Linked DNA regions of Saccharomyces cerevisiae S288C. Each later gene encodes a partner of the first gene's protein in a complex. Each region holds a gene or a part of one and is shown in the gene's direction. Other genes may lie near its edges. The genes, in order: TIM18, TIM12 and TIM54.

Region 1 (5,667 bases):
TATATATTATGATTCAGGATCTTTATTTGGTCTCAATTTTAATATTTTTTTGCAAGGACTCGATTAATCTATCTTTTTCTATCCACCTATTTTCAAGCCACTTTTCTAAACTCTCATCATTGTATGCGAGTAATGGTTGAATTTGATGCTTTTTTACATTTACCATCACAACAATGGGGTCCTTATCCTTTATGTTGTTTTCAGACTCCATTTCTGGTTGAATCATCTCAAAGATTGTCGGAGATATTTGCTCTAATTGATAACCTTTATGAAGTCTCAAATCTCCGTTGGTATGATCATGCCCACTATCAGTATATTTGACTCGGTAATAAATTATGGTGACATCATATATGTATGGATTGATTCGTACCACCTTGGGCTTGCCGCTGCTGATTTCTTCCTTTTTTGTAAGTAAGTATGAATTATCTACGATCATGGGCGGCGTCGTCTTATCGGATACCTTGGAAGACTCCATTTTCATGCTCTTGTGAACTAATTTGTCAAGTTCTCTGTGAAACAGGTATCGGGCCTCTTTGATTATATTGTTACGGTTTTTCTTTCTTTTGATGTTTTTAATTGATGAAAAAGCAGCCATCAAAGTGGTAAAGTTTTTAAATCTTGGGTATAATAAATTATAGAAGTTTATAACAAAGGGAAAATCTTGGTGTAATTTTCTTTGAATAATTGATAGTTCCAAACTCATGATATTGACTTCGGGAAAAATAGTAATAGCTTGATTGTTTTGTCTTTCTAAAATATCTCTTAACTCATTCGATGAGAGTGCGAGTGTTTCATCTTTGAAGAATATGTTCTTTAGTAGATCCAATCGAGGAAAGTTAAACATTTTTCCCCAACCAAGAAATTTTAACTGAGGCCATTCAGCTAGATCTTCCCCCTTCCTCAGCTTTTGTAGAAATTCCCATTTAGTATAAAACTTGGTGGGACAACTTTTGAGAAAAAGGTAATTAATCAATGTGTAGTCATTCACTGATCGATGATTACATATCATTAATGTGGTTTGGAATTTGCTATCTTTAAAAAAGTTTAGGTCATCACTTCCCTCGGTTATGAAAATTTGGACGTTTTTTTTTTTTTCGAAGGTCATTTCAACTAAATGTAGCTGAAACCAAATTTCAATCGCCTCCAGCACCTTGTCTAAAGTTGGTATTATTTTCAGTTTACTATATGTCAGTGCCCTCGAGAGCAGCCGAATTTTGTACTCACCTATTATGGGCACATGCGACCAAAATCTGTCATATAGTAAATGCAGTCTAAGACAGAAGGAATTCGTGTTAATGAACTGTAGGAATTGATTGATTGCAGTAAAAAAAGAATGAAGGTAAAAATAGCCAAAAAGAATAAGCAACCTTGGGGTCAGACTCAACCAATCAGAAATATCTAACTGTTTGAACTGGACCCTAGAACCGACCATATATGTTTCGAAGAAATCAACAAAACCCATCTTAAAGTTATACCTTTCGTTTAGTTTTCTGTGTGGAAAAGAGAAATTTTATTTGATTAAGATTAACAATGAATCTATTATGGTGCATATCTTGCCCTGTTAACTTTCAATTTTTCATTTTGTGTCGCTACATGCCTTGTTGACACTCGGTTTTTTTGAAAAACAAACCATTCTCGCAAAAGATCGGATAAAAATGAAAACTTCCAGACAGTGGAATGCACACATTAATTAACGGTGATGCGAGGTGCAACAACTGAGTAATTTAATACCTTTGGTAATGCTATTGTTTCCTGGCTTGAAGCCTGTTCTTAATGCTTCCACTGTCATTGTAAATCCTGTACGAGCTGTTTTTCCAGGATTAGTACTTTCAACCAAAAGATCCTTTTATAGCATTAATCGTTTAAATGCTGAAAATAAAATAAACGATATTGCAAATACGTCAAAAGAGGCATCCTCTTCAGTGCAGATGTTTAAGCCCCCAGAGTTCTCTCAATTTAAGGACTCTTATCAAAAAGACTATGAGAGAATAGCAAAATATACTTTGATTCCATTAACAATGGTACCTTTTTATGCCTCCTTTACCGGCGGGGTTATAAATCCTTTACTCGATGCGTCTTTATCGTCCATTTTTTTGATATATTTACAGTATGGCTTCACAAGTTGTATTATTGACTATATACCGAAGGAAAAGTATCCAAGATGGCATAAGCTCGCCCTTTATTGCCTCTATGGAGGATCCATGTTGTCCCTGTACGGTATCTACGAATTGGAAACGAAAAATAATGGTTTTGTTGACCTGGTAAAGAAACTTTGGAATGAAAATGATGACCATTTGTATATATTTGGAAGAAACTGACTCACCCATACTTTTTCTTTTTTTTTGCATTTCTAAGATTTCATTTTTAGAGTCAGATTCCCCATGAACTTAACTTAGGAGAGATTTTATAAAAAGACAAATAAGCAATAAAATATATCCTTCTTCTCGAAATCCAGATATATATGTATATATCGATCTGCTTGGATTGGTACAAGACGATCAATTCTTGTCGAGTGAAACGCCTAGGGATACAGAAAGGAAAAGTAGGAATTCGTGATTGCTAGTATTCTCATTCTGTCTAAAGTGCCTTTTTTATTATTATCTGTATGCTTTTTGTTTCTTTAATGATGAGGAACGAATTTTTATACTACAAAAAAATAATGTTTACAATTTTTATCAATGTATTGAAACATTTTAATATTTGTTAGGATTCGCCTTTATTTCACAATCAAAAGGAAACACATAAAAAAAGTGTCATGCTCTACGTGAATAAAGAATTAGTGAAATAATAATAAGGCAATCAGAATACAACTATCGCACTATCTGCGAAACTTTTTACTATATGGGTATAAATGCTAAACGGAAAACTTGTCCATAAAACTATGATTCTTATAATAAACGATGATACACGTTCATTCATTTTTTATCGACGCTCAAATATAGGGTGGAACTGTTTAGTCAGCACCCCATGTATATATATAAAAGAGACTTCAGTTTCTGCCCTTTTTTCCTGTAGGAGTGACCGCTCTACTCACCGCTCTTCTATTTTTCATAGTATTAACAAGTTCTTTTCTGTCATGTAAAATTCGATGAACGTAATCATGTTGGCCTTTCGCGATCAATATTCTCAATATAATATTCATTACTTCTGCATCACGTTCCAGTTGTTCCTTAGGCTCTTTTACAATGTTAGCTACTAGCGACTTTTTTCGAGATATTGTTCCAGCGGATTTATTCGTAAAAGTAATCGGAGTTTTCTTCAGATAAAACCATCTCAAATACTCTTCATATAGGGGAATCAATCGCTGAACTTCATCCTTCAATTCGGAGACACTTTTATCATAAAAAGCTGGGATCAGCAATATATTTTGGTAATACTCATTTTTCAATTCTGCAAGAGGGGGACCTTCTCCTTTATTATGAAAAAAATCTACACACAGCGCATCAAGCCATTTGAATACAGCCTCGATTTCCGCTTGAGTCAAAGGACGACCGTATCCTGATACCGTTTTTGTGGTTGAAAGAGTATTTTCCCACAAAGATTTCTTTGCTGAACGCAATATATTAACTTTAGCGCTATTCAATGCAGGTAGAAGAAGTAAATCAGCGTTCTCTAAAACGAGGTTCCACGCTCTTAGCATTACCATAAACAACAATCTCTGTGAAAGTTCTGATGCCAGAATGTTCAAATTTGCGTTTAAATAGTCAAATAGTGGTAAAATTGCGTCATATACTGCTTCGTCAGACGCAAGTGCAGAACCATGGTGACCACACACTGTTTTTAATGTGGTTCTCGAGAAGGCAAATGCAATAAAATCAGAAAATTTGTTGACTATTAGGTTTATTGCACGATCTCTTGACCTGCTAAAAGATCTATATATTCTTCCCATAGAAGAAACGGCATCTATTTTCTCACTTTCCAGGGATATTTGGCAATATAAAGTTCCCTGCGGATTCAATGTGAGCGAAAAATCGATAGGAAACCCATCATCCTTGAGCTTTCTCGGAGTGAATTTCATATTGGCTTTTCCACATAGATCATCTTCCGCTAAATTCTTTAATCTGCTGTGTGGGTGGTGCCATATAGTAAACATAATATCGTTCGACTTTCCGAATGGAGACTCAAACACAAACTCTTCGTCCCATTTGGGAGTAATCGATCTTGCAACAATCTTAGTAGTACCTATTTCCCGTTGTAAAGTGATGTTTCTCATGGAAACGTAGGTGTTTGAAAGCCCCGTTTTGCTGAAGCCTTTAATATTTTCAGCACCGATAATTCGAAGGGTATAAACTTGCTTCATATTCTGGTCATCGAATGACTTCCCATTATCCTCTAAATTATGGGAGGAGTGGTACTGTGCAATAACAGAGGATATTTTTGATGGATCTGCTTTTTCTTCGAAGCTCTCTAACAGAAAAAGTGTTTTATCAAGATCATTTAGCAGTACGCACGTACGCTTCTTGAACTGATATGGAGCAGGAGCTACCATCTTCGGAGTTGATTTAACTACATTTTTCAAATCTTCAAACAGCCTACTACTTCTTGATTTTTCATGATTTACGTTAGCGTTATTCAGGCTAAGTGAAGATCGAGTGTCTGAGCTTTCTAAAGAGTAGGATGGTTCATCACCCTCCTGTAAATCTCTCTGGATCAATTCCATTAGTTGAGCTGAGTATGAAAGCATACCATCTGAAAACGCCTTTAATATTACCGTGATCATTTGTGCCAGTTGAAATTCATTTTGCCAACCAAATTTCTCCAACATGCTAGTTGATTCATTTATCATTTTGAATATGTCCAAAACTGATCTACTGAAATGGTCCTGGTCATTTACGGGTTGCCAATTCTCGCTTTCTAGTGAAGATTTAATAACTTTTTGAACATTACGGCTCACATCATCACATAATCGAGTCAAATATTTGATGAAATAATTTTCAAGGTTAAAGAAAAATTTCCCTTTTGGCTTTACCTGCAGGTAAATCTGTCTCAGTTCTTTCAGTACATCATACATATCTAGCGCATCTATTGGACCCAACTTTTGTCCAGTCATTTTCATGGTACTCTTTTCAGCGGTTTTTATTAGATTTAAAGAATCCGAACCGTATACTTCACATAGAAATACTGCGCATTGTCTAGGCAGAGATATTTCGTCCAATAAAGGTTTATTGTAACGTTTTTGAATCGCTTTTATGGCTTCTATAATTGTTTCTACGAGATTCTGAACGTTTTGAATTTCTATTGCGTTAGCCTTTAGCATATCCTGCAGAAGGGAGACAAAATAATCCTCTGATGCTTTAAAAAGAGTCTTCTTAAATAATTTGATCCAGTATTTCTTTACAGCTACGGACTGCGTTTCATAGAATTCCATTACTGGATCCCCAACAATGTTTGAATAATAAAATGACAAAACTGGAGAAAATTTTGGCTTTGTACCTGAAAATATCGCAGTTAAAAGGTTATTTATTGTCCTCATAGACTGATCAGTCGTATGAAAAAGGTTTGCAGCCCATAAATAGCGATCCTGAGCATTCCAAGCGGATGGATCCAGATTATCCTCTGAACATAAATATTTATTGCGGATGACAGAAAACAAGTTTTCAGTTATTGGGATATTTAGCTCTTCATCTCCTAGAACACTTAAATTTGCTGCTGAATAAACCAACGAGG
Region 2 (4,904 bases), on another chromosome or scaffold:
CCGGAGACCGGCATTACAAGGATCCGAAAGTTGTATTCAACAAGAATGCGCAAATATGTCAACGTATTTGGAAGTCATCTTATGTGCGCTGCTTTAATGTTTTCTCATGTAAGCGGACGTCGTCTATAAACTTCAAACGAAGGTAAAAGGTTCATAGCGCTTTTTCTTTGTCTGCACAAAGAAATATATATTAAATTAGCACGTTTTCGCATAGAACGCAACTGCACAATGCCAAAAAAAGTAAAAGTGATTAAAAGAGTTAATTGAATAGGCAATCTCTAAATGAATCGATACAACCTTGGCACTCACACGTGGGACTAGCACAGACTAAATTTATGATTCTGGTCCCTGTTTTCGAAGAGATCGCACATGCCAAATTATCAAATTGGTCACCTTACTTGGCAAGGCATATACCCATTTGGGATAAGGGTAAACATCTTTGAATTGTCGAAATGAAACGTATATAAGCGCTGATGTTTTGCTAAGTCGAGGTTAGTATGGCTTCATCTCTCATGAGAATAAGAACAACAACAAATAGAGCAAGCAAATTCGAGATTACCAATGTTTAAATCTGTTGTTTATTCAATTTTAGCCGCTTCTTTGGCCAATGCAGGTACCATTCCCTTAGGCAAACTAGCCGATGTCGACAAGATTGGTACCCAAAAAGATATCTTCCCATTTTTGGGTGGTGCCGGACCATACTACTCTTTCCCTGGCGACTATGGTATTTCTCGTGATTTGCCTGAAGGTTGTGAAATGAAGCAACTGCAAATGGTTGGTAGACATGGTGAAAGATACCCTACTGTCAGTCTGGCTAAGACTATCAAGAGTACATGGTATAAGTTGAGCAATTACACTCGTCAATTCAACGGCTCATTGTCATTCTTGAACGATGATTACGAGTTTTTCATCCGTGATGACGATGATTTGGAAATGGAAACCACTTTTGCCAACTCGGACGATGTTTTGAACCCATACACTGGTGAAATGAACGCCAAGAGACATGCTCGTGACTTCTTGGCTCAATACGGTTACATGGTCGAAAACCAAACCAGTTTCGCCGTTTTTACCTCTAATTCTAAGAGATGTCATGACACTGCTCAATATTTCATTGATGGTTTAGGTGACCAATTCAACATCACCTTGCAGACTGTCAGTGAAGCTGAATCCGCTGGTGCCAACACTTTGAGTGCTTGTAACTCATGTCCTGCTTGGGACTACGATGCCAATGATGACATTGTAAATGAATACGACACAACCTACTTGGATGACATTGCCAAGAGATTGAACAAGGAAAACAAGGGTTTGAACTTGACCTCAACTGACGCTAGTACTTTATTCTCGTGGTGTGCATTTGAAGTGAACGCTAAAGGTTACAGTGATGTCTGTGATATTTTCACCAAGGATGAATTAGTCCATTACTCCTACTACCAAGACTTGCACACTTATTACCATGAGGGTCCAGGTTACGACATTATCAAGTCTGTCGGTTCCAACTTGTTCAATGCCTCAGTCAAATTATTAAAGCAAAGTGAGATTCAAGACCAAAAGGTTTGGTTGAGTTTTACCCACGATACCGATATCCTAAACTTTTTGACCACCGCTGGTATAATTGACGACAAAAACAACTTAACTGCCGAATACGTTCCATTCATGGGCAACACTTTCCACAGATCCTGGTACGTTCCTCAAGGTGCTCGTGTCTACACCGAAAAATTCCAATGTTCTAACGACACCTACGTCAGATACGTCATTAACGATGCTGTTGTTCCAATTGAAACCTGTTCCACTGGTCCAGGGTTCTCTTGTGAAATCAATGACTTCTACGACTATGCTGAAAAGAGAGTAGCCGGTACTGACTTCCTAAAGGTCTGTAACGTCAGCAGCGTCAGTAACTCTACTGAATTGACCTTCTACTGGGACTGGAACACTACTCATTACAACGCCAGTCTATTGAGACAATAGTTTTGTATAACTAAATAATATTGGAAACTAAATACGAATACCCAAATTTTTTATCTAAATTTTGCCGAAAGATTAAAATCTGCAGAGATATCCGAAACAGGTAAATGGATGTTTCAATCCCTGTAGTCAGTCAGGAACCCATATTATATTACAGTATTAGTCGCCGCTTAGGCACGCCTTTAATTAGCAAAATCAAACCTTAAGTGCATATGCCGTATAAGGGAAACTCAAAGAACTGGCATCGCAAAAATGAAAAAAAGGAAGAGTGAAAAAAAAAAAATTCAAAAGAAATTTACTAAATAATACCAGTTTGGGAAATAGTAAACAGCTTTGAGTAGTCCTATGCAACATATATAAGTGCTTAAATTTGCTGGATGGAAGTCAATTATGCCTTGATTATCATAAAAAAAATACTACAGTAAAGAAAGGGCCATTCCAAATTACCTATGTTTAAGTCTGTTGTTTATTCGGTTCTAGCCGCTGCTTTAGTTAATGCAGGTACAATTCCCCTCGGAGAGTTAGCCGATGTTGCCAAAATTGGCACTCAGGAAGACATATTCCCATTCCTGGGTGGTGCCGGGCCATACTTCTCTTTCCCTGGCGACTATGGTATTTCTCGTGACTTGCCTGAAGGTTGTGAAATGAAACAATTGCAAATGCTTGCCAGACATGGTGAAAGATACCCAACTTACAGTAAAGGTGCTACCATCATGAAAACATGGTATAAGTTGAGCAATTACACACGTCAATTCAACGGCTCATTGTCATTCTTGAACGATGATTACGAGTTTTTCATCCGTGATGACGATGATTTGGAAATGGAAACCACTTTTGCCAACTCAGACAATGTTTTGAATCCATACACTGGTGAGATGGATGCTAAGAGACATGCTCGTGAGTTTTTAGCGCAATATGGCTACATGTTCGAAAATCAAACCAGTTTCCCAATTTTCGCCGCTAGTTCTGAAAGGGTTCATGACACTGCTCAATATTTCATTGATGGTTTAGGTGACCAATTCAACATCTCCTTGCAGACTGTCAGTGAAGCCATGTCCGCCGGCGCAAACACTTTGAGTGCTGGTAATGCGTGCCCAGGATGGGATGAAGATGCTAACGATGACATTTTGGACAAATACGATACCACATACTTGGATGACATTGCCAAGAGATTAAACAAAGAAAACAAGGGTTTGAATTTGACCTCAAAGGACGCCAACACTTTGTTTGCATGGTGTGCATACGAATTGAACGCTAGAGGCTACAGTGATGTTTGTGATATCTTCACCGAAGATGAATTGGTACGTTACTCATACGGCCAGGACCTGGTATCGTTTTACCAGGATGGACCAGGTTATGATATGATCAGATCCGTCGGTGCCAACTTGTTTAACGCTACTTTGAAGTTGTTAAAGCAAAGTGAAACTCAAGACTTAAAAGTCTGGTTGAGTTTTACCCACGATACCGATATCCTAAACTATTTGACCACCGCTGGTATAATTGACGACAAAAACAACTTAACTGCCGAATACGTTCCATTCATGGGCAACACCTTCCATAAGTCCTGGTACGTTCCTCAAGGTGCTCGTGTCTACACCGAAAAATTCCAATGTTCTAACGACACCTACGTCAGATACGTCATTAACGATGCTGTCGTTCCAATTGAAACCTGTTCCACCGGCCCAGGGTTCTCTTGTGAAATCAATGATTTCTACGACTATGCTGAAAAGAGAGTAGCTGGTACTGACTTCCTAAAGGTCTGTAACGTCAGCAGTGTCAGTAACGTCACCGAATTGACCTTCTACTGGGACTGGAATACTACTCACTACAACGATACCCTATTAAAACAATAAATTGTATAAATAAATAATATTGCAAATATAAATAAATACCCATCGATTCTGATCTTCTTTTATGTACTAGTAGGGTAACGAGTTTGTAGATTAGCGGCAGAATGAAAAGAAAAAAGTTAACTAAAAAGTAAGAACAGCAAAGTTGATTGTAGTCTATATTGCTGAAATAGATATCGGAGCTCCCGTATAATATTAAAGTGCACCAAGAAAAGGATGTCGTTCTTTTTAAATAGTCTAAGGGGCAACCAGGAGGTCTCGCAAGAGAAGCTAGACGTTGCAGGAGTGCAATTCGATGCGATGTGCTCGACTTTCAACAATATTCTCAGTACGTGTCTTGAGAAATGTATTCCGCATGAGGGCTTTGGTGAGCCTGATCTAACGAAAGGTGAGCAATGCTGCATAGACAGATGTGTGGCAAAGATGCATTACAGCAATCGCCTCATTGGAGGATTTGTACAAACACGAGGTTTCGGGCCAGAGAATCAGCTACGACATTATTCGCGATTTGTGGCCAAAGAAATAGCTGATGATTCCAAAAAATAGCTGTAAATATGAGGACTGTCTGTGCTGTTTGTATATAATAGTAACCTGCATATATAGCATTATAAGCTGTGTAGACAATTTTAGAAGTACATTTATATGGTACCCGCACCTGGGTCACGTGCATTCCCCTCACCCGTTTTTTTAGGTGGTGTCTTTTTTGTTTTTTTTTTTAGGTGGCGCGGCAACTATAAAGTACAGCAAGTGAGGTTGAGGCAATACTGGGAGTTTACACTATGGGAGACAGCTCCTAACACCAAGCAGAAAAACGACTTTTTCGCAAAGTATGTAAGGCGCTGGGTGAGCCCAGCGGACGAGGATGGGCTTAATAAGAACGTACAGTTTAGCACAGCTAGAACAGGATACAGCTAAGGGCAACTCTGCTTTTCGGGAGAAGTTAAAGAGGGGTAGACAATGATGGTAATCTTATAAACCGGCTACAATGAAGGTTGTAGCAGCAAGGAAGATGATATTTTAATACGGTTCAGGTGAAATGAAATAGCCGCCCATAACGGCATGCTCAAGTTGTAAGTCAGGACTCTAGCTTTC
Region 3 (6,534 bases), on another chromosome or scaffold:
ACTGTCCCTGCTTATTGTTACTATCGTTTTGTAGGGCGTAGTGCCGATGATTTCTTTCCAATGACTGAAAATATCTTCTTGAAAAGCTTGAATTGGCAAATTCAAATCCAAGTGGCACAGTGTTCTCTGGAATACTGAGCCTACTGCTTTCTGATTCTACTCCAGCAGAGGCTCGACGATGAAGTTGTCTTCTGTTTATAATATCAGGGTTAATTTCCGTACCACATTGCGGGCACACATAGGAAGCAATAGGGCTTTTGTATTGATGAATCCCTGAAGGAAAGTCCAGTGCTGATAAAGATGCAGTCTGGTCTTCATTTAGTTCAGAGTCATTATTACTGTTGTCCTGTTGGAAAAATGATAAAGTTCCTGAGGTTGGATTAACAACCACCACTGATTTAGAATTAGGATCATCTAAAATCAGCGAACCTTCTTCATATGGTACTAAACTCATTTCTAAGTTCTACTTATGCTATCCCTCAAACTATATATCTAATAGTGTTTCTTCGGTTACCTAGTTGTCACTCATAGGATCTATATATACAATGTCCTTCCCCCCCACCCCCTTTTCTGAAACGTATACAAAAAATAAAGCTTGAAATACGTTATTACGTAAAAAAAGTGTACTGTAAAAGCTTACAAAAAAGAGTTTGCGAAAAATTATAAATAAAAAGTAGTCTAGGTAAAATATGAAATGTTTCTAATTATGCATTTATGTGATCCTGAAAACCGCCCTTCTTACGTTGGACCATGATGATCACATTTATAAATATGGTTTTCTTTCCAATGCGCATTTCACTTTCTGTGAGTTCAATTTTCCCAAATCGTCAAAGCTTTTGGAACAGTCAGAGCACTTGTATTTTTTCTGATGGGTCTTAATATGTTTGCTCAAATTTGACGATTCGTTGAATCTCTTACCACAAATCTTGCATTGTAAAGGTTTTTCACCAGTATGGGTTCTTATATGAATCTTCAAAGAACTTGAAATCGCGAATTTTTTATTACAAATGTGACATTTGTAAGGTTTTTCGCCAGAGTGTGTCCTGGTATGCTGAACTAAAGTTTCTTCGCTTGAAAAACACCTTTTACATGTCTTGCACTTATAAGGTTTGTATTTCGAATGCACTTTTAAATGACGGATTAATTTTTGTCTTTGGGGGAACGTACGATGGCAGTCATGCCACAAGCATTGGTATTCAGACTTACCCCGGGTTAAATGTACTGCTTCTAAATGGTCGTTTAATTCCTGAGCACTGGAAAATGACTTATTGCAACCATCCCATTGGCAAATCACCTGTTCCGGCTGCTTGATTGGCGGTATATTGGAAACATCATTTGCAGACGTCATATCAGGTGCTCCATCTGCTTTAGAAACTTCGTGTGTTTGTGGGTTGGGGCAATGTAGTAAGTGATGTTTTTCCTTTGATATACTACCAGGCAAAAATGAGTCTGGGTTGGCAAATTGAATATCAAAATTGATACCATGTTGACAATTAATATGGTTCACTATGGAACATGTATCATCTCCAAGGAAATCACAGTCCTCCCAATTACAAGCTAATGGTTCCATAGGGTGTTTGAAATCTTGAGAGACATGATCCTTCAAAAGATGTCTTTGTAGGTCAAATAGTGAGCTACAAGACTCAGGACATTCTTTCCATTTGCATTTTAAGTCATTGTTTTTCTCTTCTTTAAAACACCAGTTGAAATTTATAGTGCTTGTTGTCTGTATAGGAGGAGAGATGCTAGAAGGTAATGAGTCTTCCAAAGAGCTGAAATCAGTAGATTCTAGATCTTTTGTAGGCCAAGATCTACGATTTTTCTGATTCTGATGAGTGACTTTGGGTAGCGAAGGGGGCTCACTTTGATTTCTAAATCTTTCATAACTATACTCTCTTGAAATTAAGTCATTTAAATCGTTGTTAGTTAGATCGGCTGTTGTGTTCGCCGCGCTAATCCCTGAATTGTTCACAATATTGTTTCTATTTGGTTTGTGAGAATGAAACTGTATTCTATGGTGATGGTGTTGATGATCAGTTGAAGTTGCTCCAGCCGTATTGTTATTGCTTCCATTAAGATTATTTTTAGGGTTGCATCTATTAATGCTTGATAATAGAAGATTCATTGTTTGGTTACCGTTTTCATTATTTCCTGTGCTCGAACCATCGCAGCCGTTACCGGCATTATTGTGGTCGTGGTGGTTAATGTGTTTTCCAAACGGTACTTCATACAAAGAAGAAATATTGCATAAATCTTCCAAAATCTTCAAATCCATATCAGTATTTAAGATATGTTCGTGATAAGCATGATTTGTACCTTGCAAAGTGTTTGTAGGTTTTCGTAAAGATGAACATTTGGGTGGTAGTTGAGGTGGCTTTGACTCTAAATGCATATGCTTAGAACAAGGTTGATTATCAGTGCTCTCCTCACAAAATTTGCAGTATTTATGGAAAACGTCATCATTATTTGATGATTGATGATCTTGAACAAACTTGTGACCACTAGTCGCGCTCGTGCTAGCCGTGCATGGGGTGTCACAGGTCAAATCGCAATCAATCTCCGATAAGTGAGACATCAGCTGAGAAAAGCTATCTGGTACAGTATTATTGTGATTGTGAGAGTCGTGATTGGTACTATTACAGTACTGATCATGAAGGTTAAAATTTGGCATCAAGTGATCGTTCTTTACATCTGTGAATATTGCAACATCATTGCCGTTCTCAGATATGTCTTTCTTTGTCGGTTGATCAGATTCACCTTGTTTTATATTAGCCTCACTTTTGGGATGAGTTTCGTCACAACATATTTCCAAAATCTTGGGCGTACAATAACAATCATCGGATCCAGGTGGTGGGTTCGGTTTATTTTTCTTGGAAGAGGGCAGCAGTATCAGATCGTCGTTAAACCAAGAATCTTTTCTACGTGGTAGGTCGCTTTTAGAATTCTGTTGGGGACTTGTCGGATCAGAAGCTACCGAATGGAAATTGTTTGCAAAAGAATGATTATTAGAATTATACGTTGCAGTATCATTATATTTTGTTAATGACGGATTATTGTGATAATTCAAGAACTCGAAATGTTGGCAGTCGGTGTACTCCTTGCATTTCTCATTGACGTGGCAATCACCACCCATATCATGGCTAGCTCCAGATGCAAATGCGGAAGTAGCGGCATCAGCAACAGCTGCGGCTGCAGGTGTTGCCGAAGCACTACTGTCGTTCACAGGCGCGCTGTGGTGAAGGTGACCATGGATATAGGTCAGGTTGTTGTAGTTATGGATGTGCCCGTGGACAATGCCTTCTTTACCTATCGTCAGAGCATCAGGCTTGGCAGAAGCAGCAGTGGCCGCACTCGTGGCCATCGAGTCATCGCGCTTGGGGGAGTCCCTGGGAGTCAACGCATCCATTAGTTCCTATCCTTCTTCTATTTAAAAAACCGTAACACATAAAAAGTAAAAGTGTAATGCTTCCGTCTCGCCGCTGGCCTATATTCACAGTGACTGCAGTTGCATCTTATATTGCCAAGCACGTTTCATCATGACCTTTAGGGTAGATGACTGCTGTCAACTACTCCGTCTGCAGTGATATATAATCATGTTTTGGGCGTTTAAGGAAGGAGAATTATTTCCAACAGTTGAATAGGAAGATCCCTAGAGTAAATCGCAGGCAATCCAGTACTAAGAAACGGCGATGACAATGGAAAAAAATGGAGGTAATAGCAGCCGTGGTGGCCAAGTAGGCGGCAAGTCTGTGTGTGTTTACTGCGGGTCTTCATTTGGCGCTAAGGCGCTATACTCAGAAAGTGCAGAAGAATTAGGAGCCCTTTTCCATAAGCTGGGATGGAAATTGGTATACGGTGGAGGCACTACTGGTTTGATGGGCAAGATAGCAAGGTCTACGATGGGACCTGATTTAAGCGGACAGGTTCACGGTATCATTCCAAATGCACTTGTGTCTAAGGAAAGGACAGACGAGGATAAAGAAGATGTTAATAAAGCATTGTTGGAGTCTGTAGAAAATCATAAGGGCGCCACTCCTATTTCTGAAGAGTATGGGGAAACAACGATTGTACCAGATATGCATACGAGAAAAAGAATGATGGCAAATTTGAGTGACGCGTTTGTTGCTATGCCTGGTGGATACGGGACTTTTGAAGAAATCATGGAATGTATCACGTGGTCGCAACTGGGGATTCATAATAAACCAATTATCTTGTTCAATATCGATGGGTTCTATGACAAATTATTGGAGTTCCTCAAACACTCTATTCAAGAACGGTTCATCAGTGTGAAGAATGGTGAAATCATTCAAGTTGCCTCCACTCCGCAGGAAGTTGTTGATAAAATAGAGAAGTACGTCGTTCCAGAGGGCCGTTTCAATTTGAATTGGAGCGACGAAGGTCACGCTCACGAGGATTGTGCTAAATAATAGAAACGTAAGTCATGTATCTAGTTTAAACGATCTGTATAGATAATGTGGTGAAAAATCCAAATTTTTAGGAGCTGTCTTTCTAAGCCCGAAGGCTGGAAAAAATAGTACTGATGGCAAAGACATCATAGCTTTAAAGTCCATTGTTCTCAAAAGAAGCTCAATAGACCATGTCTTCTGAATCAGGAAAGCCTATTGCTAAGCCTATTAGGAAGCCTGGCTATACCAATCCGGCTTTAAAAGCCCTTGGTATACCCGCCTTGAGGCTGCCTTCTCGAAACTGGATGATCTTTTGGTCTGTGTTAACAGTATCCATCGGTGGCATAGCCTATGACAAATACAAGCAACGTCAGATTCTGAGCCATGCAACAGACTTGGTGAAGCCTTTGGCAGAGGAGTCCATGGAGGTAGACAAAGTGCCACGAAAGATCACTGTTTTTATTGCACCTCCTCCAAATGATTATCTGGAGAGTTCGTTGAAAGTTTGGAGACGATATGTTAAGCCTGTACTGTATTATGCAGGGTTGGACTATGAATTAGTTCAAGAGGATAGGCAAGGGATTATTAGAACTAATGTAGCCAACAGAATCAGAGAATTGAGAAAGGAAATATTGGCATCGACGGATGGGCAGCCAGTTAAAGAGCCTAACCAAACGGTAGCAAAACCAAGTGGTTCTTCAACCAGTAAAATTTCATCACTACTACCGTTCAATAAAATCATTCAAGATCCTGCTGAAGAAGATGACTCGTTTGATCCAGAAATCGGTAAAAAGTTCAAGGAGAACTTCGACTGGAGAAACGTTATAGGTATCTTCTATACAATGCCAAAACCGAAGCATATAATAAGTGAAGACGCCCTGACAAAGGACCCTATATTATCTGGTGGTGTTATTTGTTTAGGTAGAGGCGCCTATAAGGAGTACATTGCCGGTATTCACGAAGGCTTGCTTGGACCCATCGAGAAGACCGAAAAAACAGGATCCACTGAGCCTAAGATGACTGGGGTTGTAGAAGCAAATCAAATAGAATCAAAGGTAAGTGAATCCGGTGCTACGGAACTGGTGGATGCCGAGAAAGAGACTGCTTTGGAAGAGGCCAAAGTACAAGATGATCTAAAGGTTGATGAAGAAAACAGCTCAGAGGATTCGCAAAAATTTTTGAAGCCATTTATTTCTTCAGACCAATACCCTGACCTGCAAATCGCTTCGGAATTACAAACTCCAAATGGCGAATTCATAAGAAACCCCAATACAAATATCCCGCTTCTGATTAATCAGCCGTTATTGGTCATTCCAATACCTAACTTGATAGGTTTTACTACCATTCCAAGGAGAATACATCGTTTTTACCAGAAGCGTTTCTACGTAGAGGACGTGTGTTCAAGTGTAGTTAACTGTGTTCGACAAACCCGTATAAGACCGTTTGATATTGCAAAGGATATTGATTTGGCGAAGGACGAAGAAAAAGATTGGCCACAGAACTGGGTCAAACAGGGTAAAGAAAAGAACAGCGAATGGACCCAAGAATTAGTATGTGATCCTAGAATCACGAAGCATATGTTTGTTTACGAAAAACCACCCAAGGAAGAGCCAGAATCAGATATTTAATTGGATATATATTATGTTTTATCATCATGCACGATCGACGTTATGTCTGACATATACCAAACCCTTTTCGAAGATTTCCCTTTACTCATGTTGAAATAGTTTTTATATATGCACACATATACATATATATAAAATCTGTAAATATAATAAAATGTGTACATTGTAAAAGAATCCAAGCACAACTATTATTAGCATTATGAGTATTTTTTTCAAGCCGCCGATTGATATTGAGATCCTTTTCGATAATGAGGAATCTCGCAAACACGTAGACATTGCAACAAGATCAAGTAATTCCAGTTACAAATCAATGAAGGAAAGCTTGCCCGTCTATGAAGATGGCGAATCCCTTGGTGGAATTGTTACTTTGAGAGTTCGGGATAGTAAAAAGGTAGACCACTTGGGCATAAAAGTGTCCGTTATTGGATCCATTGATATGTTAAAATCTCATGGGAGCGGTAATTCATCTTCTAAAAAAGTTACCTCTAGCACATCATCTTCCT

The links.
Region 2: TIM18 (region 1) and TIM12 share a complex: the UniProt entries of both Saccharomyces cerevisiae proteins name them as parts of the TIM22 complex.
Region 3: TIM18 (region 1) and TIM54 share a complex: the UniProt entries of both Saccharomyces cerevisiae proteins name them as parts of the TIM22 complex.

Annotation. Positions count from the first base shown.
Region 1 is NC_001147.6:871,394-877,060, reverse strand, and holds TIM18 (Tim18p), read left to right. Parts: upstream 1-1,739; coding exon 1,740-2,318; downstream 2,319-5,667. Other genes in the region: MUM3 (Mum3p), read right to left, coding at 23-1,462; YOR296W (uncharacterized protein), read right to left, coding at 2,990-5,667. UniProt on the Saccharomyces cerevisiae protein: Component of the TIM22 complex, a complex that mediates the import and insertion of multi-pass transmembrane proteins into the mitochondrial inner membrane.
Region 2 is NC_001134.8:426,609-431,512, reverse strand, and holds TIM12 (Tim12p), read left to right. Parts: upstream 1-4,028; coding exon 4,029-4,358; downstream 4,359-4,904. Other genes in the region: acid phosphatase PHO5, read left to right, coding at 562-1,965; acid phosphatase PHO3, read left to right, coding at 2,412-3,815; YBR090C (uncharacterized protein), read left to right, coding at 4,455-4,639. UniProt on the Saccharomyces cerevisiae protein: Essential component of the TIM22 complex, a complex that mediates the import and insertion of multi-pass transmembrane proteins into the mitochondrial inner membrane.
Region 3 is NC_001142.9:329,668-336,201, forward strand, and holds TIM54 (Tim22-complex subunit TIM54), read left to right. Parts: upstream 1-4,597; coding exon 4,598-6,034; downstream 6,035-6,534. Other genes in the region: protein kinase IKS1, read right to left, coding at 1-454; ZAP1 (Zap1p), read right to left, coding at 764-3,406; LOG1 (Log1p), read left to right, coding at 3,690-4,427; retromer subunit PEP8, read left to right, coding at 6,231-6,534. UniProt on the Saccharomyces cerevisiae protein: Essential component of the TIM22 complex, a complex that mediates the import and insertion of multi-pass transmembrane proteins into the mitochondrial inner membrane.